2 linked regions of the Caenorhabditis elegans genome follow. The protein of the gene in region 1 interacts with the protein of each later gene in a pairwise test. Each region holds a gene or a part of one and is shown in the gene's direction. Other genes may lie near its edges. The genes, in order: tln-1 and F13H10.1.

Region 1 (4,862 bases):
CGCGCTCCATTGATGATTTATCAACAATTTCTGATTTTTGACACCAAATTTTCATTAAAAGTTAGCTACTTTAAAAATTTACGGAATTACAAACGCGCCCCAATGAGAATTTATTGGAAATAACCAAGTTTTCAATTTTCAAGTGCATTCAAAGTCAGAAAAATGCGGAATATTTTTTATTTCTATATTCCTAAAATTTTTGAGTGTCCCATTTTGGTTTGATCTACAAAAAATGCGGGAGAACAGACGCAGACTTTTCAACTGATTGGTTACGAACGTGCTGACGTCAAATTTTCGAATTTTTCTGGAAGAAAAATTCCCGCAATTTTTGTAGATCAAACCGCAAACGCGCTCTTTTATAAAAATTTTCAAATTTCATATTCCTAGAGTCTCCAAAATTCTTCCAATTTTCTTTTATTTCATTTTCACGAAATTTTTTCATCCTAACCATTAAATGGGCGTGGCATATCCCAGAAACTAGTAAGCACTTCTCCGATGTTCTCTCACTATCCTTACTCAAAATGAATCATAAAAATGCAAATTCGTCAACATGAAACGGACAGTTAATGCATTTGAAAACGGAAGGAATGTGGCCTTGTCCCTCTAGTTCGCCCCCCCCCCCCCCCATCCGCCTTCCCATAGCTCAATGTGCACAAAGTGTGCTCTCCCCACGCAACCCGCCTACGATCATCTTTCTTCTTCTTCTTCATCTTCTGCTCCTTCTTGCCCTGATGCCTTCCTTTACACCCGACAAAAAGCTGTGTAAAAATGCCGCTGCCGGTTGGCATCTGTTGGAATCTCTAGAGACACACTATCTATTACATATGTTTCAACACCCTGAACTTTATCGATTTTTTAAAGATAGGACTGATAACAAATTCTGTGTCTCATTTTGGTTTGATCTACGTAGATCTACAAAAAATGCGGGAGAAGAGACGTAGAGTTCTCAACTGATTTGGCATGGTTGAGAACGTTCTGACGTCACATTTTTTAGGGCAAAAAATTCCCGCATTTTTTGTAGATCAAACCGTAATGGGACAGCCCCTGACACCACGTGTGTCTACCGTTCTCAAAAACGGATGATCCATTATTTTTTGTGAAACGTATAAAAATGCCCGAAAACAATTGCTAAATTTTCTGGACCAAAGCCTTTTTTCCTTTTCATGCGCCCAAACGTGGTCACACTCAAATTTTCAGTAGAGCGCGTTTGTATGGATGTACCACTTTCCGGGTCGTCACGTAGTTTTAAGCTGTCCCATTACGGTTCGATCTTCAAAAAATGCGGGAATTTTCTGCAAAAGAAATGAGACGTCAGCACGCTCTTAACCATGCGAAATCAGTTGAAAATTCTGCGTCCTAGCAACTCCCGCATTTTTTGTAGATCGACGCAAATCAAACGGGTCGTGTTTAGGAATATTCGGAAAAACATTTGAATAACCGTTTTTGAAATCTAAAAAGCTTCCAGATAAACCGCAAATCCTTTGTCGTAAATTGATTCCTTCAATTTCTTCTTTTCTTTTTTTTGAACTTCCCCCGCCAAACTTTCCTTATTATCAATTTTCTCTTCAGACACCATGGGAGTCCTCAGTCTGACGGTCTCGTCAGCCGAGAAGGGAATCAAGAAGACGATGCAGTTCGAGCCGTCCACACTTATATACGATGCCGCCAAGCTTATTAGGGAAAAATTCGCGATGCACGATGTTAATGGTAGGTGGCCTAGAAATTATACTCTTCCATAACAATTTGAAAAATGGGCGTGGCAACGCCTAACAAACCACGCCCAGATATGGACTAAGGATAATTTTTTTTCCTCCTTGGGACAAAAGTTGGCCCTATACAAAAATTAGAAAAAAAATCAGTTTTTGCCCAAAAAAATTTTTTTTGCAGCAAATGAATACGGAATCTTCCGGCTCGACGAGAACCCATCAAAATCACTCTGGATGGACAACGGGCGCACATTTGAGCACTATTTGGTGCGTAACAAGGACGAAATCGAGTACAAGCGGAAGATCCGTCTGCTCAAAGTTCGAATGCTCGACGGAGCCGTCAAAACGATCTCCGTTGACGAGTCACAGCCCGTGTCGCAGCTCATGATGACCGTCTGTAATAAGATTGGAATCTCGAATTACGAAGAGTACAGTCTTGTTCGAGACGATATTCTTATGCAGAACGGTGGCGGCGGCGGCGGCGGCGGCGGACAAAATGGAGGTTCCACGTGGAATTTGAAGGAGAAGGAGAGTAGATCAAAAAGCTCTGATCGTGGCGGCGGTGGAATCTATGGGACGATGAGAAAGAAGAATGAGCAAAAGTTGGAGGAGCTCCGCAAAAAGTTGCATACCGATGAGGAACTTCCGTGGCTGGACCATACGAAGACACTTCGAGAACAGGGGATTACGGAGGAGGAGACGTTGATCTTGAGGAGAAAGTATTTCTTTAGGTATGGAAATGCTAAGTTAACTGGCAGAATGCAGGATAGGGTGCTAAAATTACCAAATTGGTATCATAGTAAAACTTTGGAAAATGTTTTGAAAATTAGTATTCTGAACTAGGGCTCCCAGGCGCGAAATGCAGGCCCGTGTGTGTGTGTGTGTTTGTGCAATAAAGTTCGAAACGTAGTTATTTGGAAGCGGCCGACACATTCGTGGTTCCGCAGCTTGTCATAAGTAGCTTGGTGTGTGCGTAATTGCGCAACCCTGAAAGTGTCGGCCGCTTCCAAATAGCTTCCTTTTAGCACTACGTTGCGCAACGTAGTGCAAAATGTGAGTTATTTGGAAGCGGCCGACACGTTCGGGGTTCCGCGCCGCACTATCCATTCGGATTAATGCGGCGACCTCATGGGAGTCCTGTTCTGAACATAAGTCGACTATTGTGAATTTTTATCCGAAAAAAAAAAAAAAAAATTACAATTTTTTGTAAAAATTCACAATTTTAAAACTCCTTTAAAATGGCTAATTTTGTAGTAAGAGAACTCAAAATTGATCTCCGAACCCTAAAAATTGGTCCTTTTTTAGAAAATAGTAGTTTCAAACATTTTCAGAAACATTTTTTTTTTGTCCAAAAAAGGACAGTCATTAGATAGCTGAAAAAACAAATTGGGCAAAAATAAAAAATTGCCTAAATTTATTTAAAACGGGTAATTCATATATGCTGAATTCAGCAAATCTAGGTTTAACCCATCAAAAACTATTAAAAAGTAGCAAAAATGGGCAATTTTTGGTAAAAATCACAATTTTGAAACTCCTCTAAAATGGTTAATTTTGTAGTGAGAAGACTCAAAATTCACTCAAAAACCCAAAAAAGGACAGTTTTTTGCCCAAAAAAAAATGTTTCCTGAAAATGTTCCAAACTATTAGAAATTGAAAAAGGACAATTTTTTAGATGGCTGAAAAAAAATTGGACAAAAAAAAATAATAAGTTGTCTGAATTTGTTGAAAACGGGTAAAATATTAGGTTGGTCGAAAAGTCTTTGCAAAATTTTGATTTTTTTTTGGAAGTAGTATTTTTTCAAAGCGAACAAGATTCAATGGGTAATATATTTACCATTAATGCCTATGACTTCTTGCCAACACAACGGAAGTTGAACAGTACCCTCCGCCTAGAACTCCTGCGATTAGGAGGCAAAGAAGTCGTCCAACCCCGTTTCGACGACCTTTCGATCATGAAACTTCTGCCCGGCAAGGTGATTCTGGAGTGAGCGGAACAGATGGTAGTCAGTAGGAGCCAAGCCCGGCGAATACGATGGGTAAGATAAAATTTGGATTCCGACTGTCTGGAGCTTCTGGCGGGTCTTAAAAGTTGTATGCGGTCTTGCGTTGTCATGGAGCAGCAACAACTTTGATCCTCTAGGGCGATGTAATCGATGAGCATGGACCATCTTTTCCAATTAAATGCAGTATAGGCCAGCGTTGATTGTAGCAAAGTCTGGAAGAAGCTCTCTGGAAATGACACCCTTACTGTCCCGCCCAATTGAGAGAAGCACTTTTTTCCGTGAAGTTCTAATTTGAGGTCAGGTGTCGCGGTTTCCTCGACCGGGACCCACTCTTTTTTCCTGGTATGGCTAACATACAATACCCATTTATCATTTCCAGTAATGATATCCTTAACCCAGTCCGTTGTTCGTTTCCTAGTGAGCAGCGAAAGAGAGAGGTCACAAAACAATTTTTCTGAGAATCGGGCAAATTGTGAGGAACGAGTTGACCGAACTTTTCTACCCTTCCGGTTTCGTGGAGATGGTTGATGATGGTTTTTTGGGGATGCTTGAGAGTCGCAGAAAGTTCGCGGTTCGTTGCTCTTGGATCATCTTCCAGGGCTCTCGAAATATCCTCGTCGATATTCAAACGAGAGCGATCTTATCTTGGTTTATCATCGAGATCGTAGTTCTTTTTCGTGAACTTTTCGAACCAAAACTTCATGGTATTATAGGTGACAGAGTTCTTGCCTAACACTGCACACATGTTACGACGAGCTTCGTTGCAATTGCAGATTTGGGGGAACTCGTACAGAAAAACCCATCGGAGGGCGTGACGTTCGGCGAGCAAATTCTCGGTCATTTTGAACAGCACCCAAAAGTTTTTTTTAAATATATTAAACATGCACATTACGTACTATGCAAATAAAAAAACAGAATCAGAAAAAAAATGAATTAACGCTGAGAAATGAAGAAAAGTACAAATTTTGCAAAGACTTTTCGACCAACCTAATATATATGCTGAATTTAGATAATCCAGGTTTAACCCATCAAAAACTATTAAAAAATTGCAAAAATGTCATTTTCTGTAAAAATTCACAATTTCCAACTTTCACAACATCGGATTCAAAAAAGTGGGAAAACTGAGTTATTATCACTTTTTGAAACAAAATAG
Region 2 (3,294 bases), on another chromosome or scaffold:
CTTTCCAATTAGGTTAAAAATATCCTCTTTGTCCTTATCTTTGTACTTACACAATCTTTTCAGTTAATATCGATAGCGGTCATTGTTCTCGTCTGTGTGATTCTCTCAATCTGTTGTATCTGTATTTGGATGTGCAGATGTCGTCAAGATCAAGTTCGAGCCAATGAGGAGAAGAACGATCGAGCGACCCAATTGCAGAATTTTGAGGAGGGGTAAGGGTTTTGATTCTCAGACAAACGCTTAGTAGTCTAATTAGATTTCAACCATATTTGATTAGAAACTGAGCAAATATAATGGGGACATAATTAATAGGCTTCCTATTCTAATCCAATATGGATTTTCTAATCAAATATGGTTGAAATCTAATCAAATATGGCTGAGATCGTGCCATATTGGATTAGATTTCGACCATATTGGATTAGATTTGTTTTCTAATGAAATATGGAGGGAATCTAATCTAACATGGATTTCTAATCTAATATGGAGCAAATATAATGCAATATGGATTTTCTAAACAAATATGGTTGAAATCTAATTAGACTACTAAGCGTTTGTCTGAGTGCTACTGAAATTGTGATCTAGTTTTCTAAAATTATAACAAAGCAAATATTCATTTCAAAAACTGATACAATTTTTTTCATGTTTCAGGCAAGCTAAGAACGGCGTGGTTCAAGCAAGCATTAAACCAGGGAATCGATTAAATATCAAAGACATTTCAAAATCCACGGATACTGTGAGATCTCATCGAGAAGAATCATCTAGAAGCCATGAAACAATTGGACAGGTTAGTTATTAATTAAGAACAAAAATTATAAATATGGATTTCAGTATGAAGAACGAATAACCGGTGTGTCAAATGCTTCCAATAATAATTCAAGATCCGGTGCAGCTACTGGAATTGCACAGAGATTTAGAGATGAAGAAGCTGCGAAAAATGTAAGAAACTTTTTTGAAAATTAAACGGTTTTGTTGATTTTTATTTTTAGAAACGGCTGGACACCATATCCGAGATAGCAATGTCAAATGATTCATTGCAAAGGAATGACTCAAAGGTACATAATCTATTAATATTGAACTCTAACACGCTTTGAAAATTAGTATTTCAGTCTCTTTTAGTCTTGCGCTTTTTTTTGGATTTCAAATTCAACAATTAAAAATTTTAAGAAACCACTTTTCGTGAAAGTTGAAAATCACTATTTCTAAATAATAATAAAAACTTGTAGTCTCCGTTAGTATTGCGCTTACATAAATTTAGTAGAGTTTGAAATCAATGTAATCTATGAAATCAAATAATGGAATTATTTCAACACCACATTTCGCAAAATAATAATTGTTTTCAGACAAACGTATTCAATAACATTGATGGTTCACGAAAAACAATATCCCCGATGGAAGTTGATCTGAATCCGGGTTTGAGCAGTTCGATCAATTTGGAAAAAATATGATTATCACTAGCTATCACCATGTCTAAAACTATATCATTTTTGAAATCGATATCATGATGGAAAAACGGAAGATCTCTTGTTTCTTGAAAAATAAAGTTATTTCCTAATATATTTTTAGCTTCAAAATATATATAGTAATTGTCACAAAGGCAGACTCTGATTTAATAAAATATGTGAAACCAGGTGTGGGCGGCGATTGAAAATTTTTGGCAATTGTCAGTTGTTGTAAGTTTTCATATCCAAACGATTATTTTGAAATTTTCAAATATCACATTGCATTCAATAATTATCTGGCAAATCCCAAAAATTATGTTCATGACTATTAGAAAAGATATAAGTATCTCGTCATTGGAAACCAGACATTTTTCCATCTCATCTTACAGTAATTCCAATTACACTTTTGCATCTTACGTACAATTTAGTAGAAACCCAGCGCAAAACGAAATGCGATATCATGTGAGAACAAACATAATACAAACAAATACATATCGGTGAGTCTCCAAGAAGTTCAAGCTTTTCCCAGTCTGTTTGCTTTTTGGGCCTTCAAAACTTTTTTTACTTTTTTGCGCAAGCATGGTCGTTGAGAAGTGTTAGGACACTCCTTTTTTCCACTCCTTCTTCATCCAAAATGAATGACAAAACTCTTGAGGAATTCACTTTGAGCGTCCACCACTTTCCAGACACTTTCACACATTTTTAATTTGTTTTCATGTCTTTTTTCTTTACTTAAATCTTCATTTTAAAGATTTAATTATACTTTAAAAATAATAGTTCATAGTTGCAATGTTGGATCACAATAGACTGGAAGAATTTATCGAACAAATTCGTCTTACTCCAGCAATATGGAAAAATCGAGAATTTGATATATCTCGTGAGCATATGAATGAAATTTGGGCTCATTTCGGGCACACTTTTGATATTTCTCGTGAGTTTTGCACATATATGAAAATAATATCCAACAGATTTTTAGCAAAGGAAGCTGAAATGCAATGGGAATATCTCATTCGGCTTCATCGATTTATGAATAGAAATGCAAGTTTAGAGGTGAGCAGAACAATTTAAATTTCAAGAAATAAATTTCAAACGAAATGTTTATTTTCAGCAATTTCGAATTGAAGTTCCTTCCCTAGAAGATGATTTTACACCGGCAGATACTCTTGTTGCTGAATCACTTGCTATTTTCTTGAAACCAACATTAGATGAACTTTTATTGATATCGAAACCATCAGAAACTTCCGTCTGAAACTGCAATAAATATTTTTTGTTTTTTTTAAATATTTAATATTGCTAAACGATATTTTGAAACTTACAAATGTAGTGATAAAGTGAGTTTTCAAATCCAATCATTGCCAGGAAAAAGGTTTTTTTTAATTTTGGGGAAAGAAAATAATAAACTAATAAGTTCTGAAAGTAGATTTTCTGGAAAAATGTTTTCTCAATTTATATCGGCCTGCTAATGTAAGCCATCCAAACAGCGCTAAATTCACCAAAATTCCTTATGATTATTTTTGTACAGTTTTTACGCGGGTATTTGCAACTCATTACTTTGGAAATCGGTCAAAAAATTGTTCCACTAAAAATAATATTAATAATATATGTTGATTATGTTTTTAAATGCCCGGGGAGATGATCGATAATGCGACAAAAGACTGTAATTCTAAAGAAACACACATTTTTAAAAATTGGAATTTTGCCAAAGCTTTCATTCAGAAATTTATAATTATGATTGATTTTCAAATGTGCTATTCAGCAATGTTGAACTATTATTCGTCTTATAATATATACCCAGTATCGATATCGACCTTCTAAAATGAAAAATCACACAGATAAAACTTCCGCATTTTTCAAC

Evidence for each region.
Region 2: the proteins of tln-1 (region 1) and F13H10.1 interact in a two-hybrid assay, tested with the Caenorhabditis elegans proteins (one large-scale study listed by BioGRID).

What each region holds. Positions count from the first base shown.
Region 1 is NC_003279.8:1,720,023-1,724,884, forward strand, and holds the start of tln-1 (FERM domain-containing protein), read left to right. Parts: upstream 1-1,569; 5' UTR 1,570-1,574; coding exon 1,575-1,707; intron 1,708-1,887; coding exon 1,888-2,437; intron 2,438-4,862.
Region 2 is NC_003282.8:11,002,357-11,005,650, forward strand, and holds F13H10.1 (MADF domain-containing protein), read left to right. Parts: upstream 1-2,216; 5' UTR 2,217-2,228; coding exon 2,229-2,370; intron 2,371-2,415; coding exon 2,416-2,489; intron 2,490-2,547; coding exon 2,548-2,688; 3' UTR 2,689-2,713; downstream 2,714-3,294. Other genes in the region: F13H10.9 (uncharacterized protein), read left to right, coding at 64-212, 649-784, 829-936, 987-1,052, 1,341-1,445.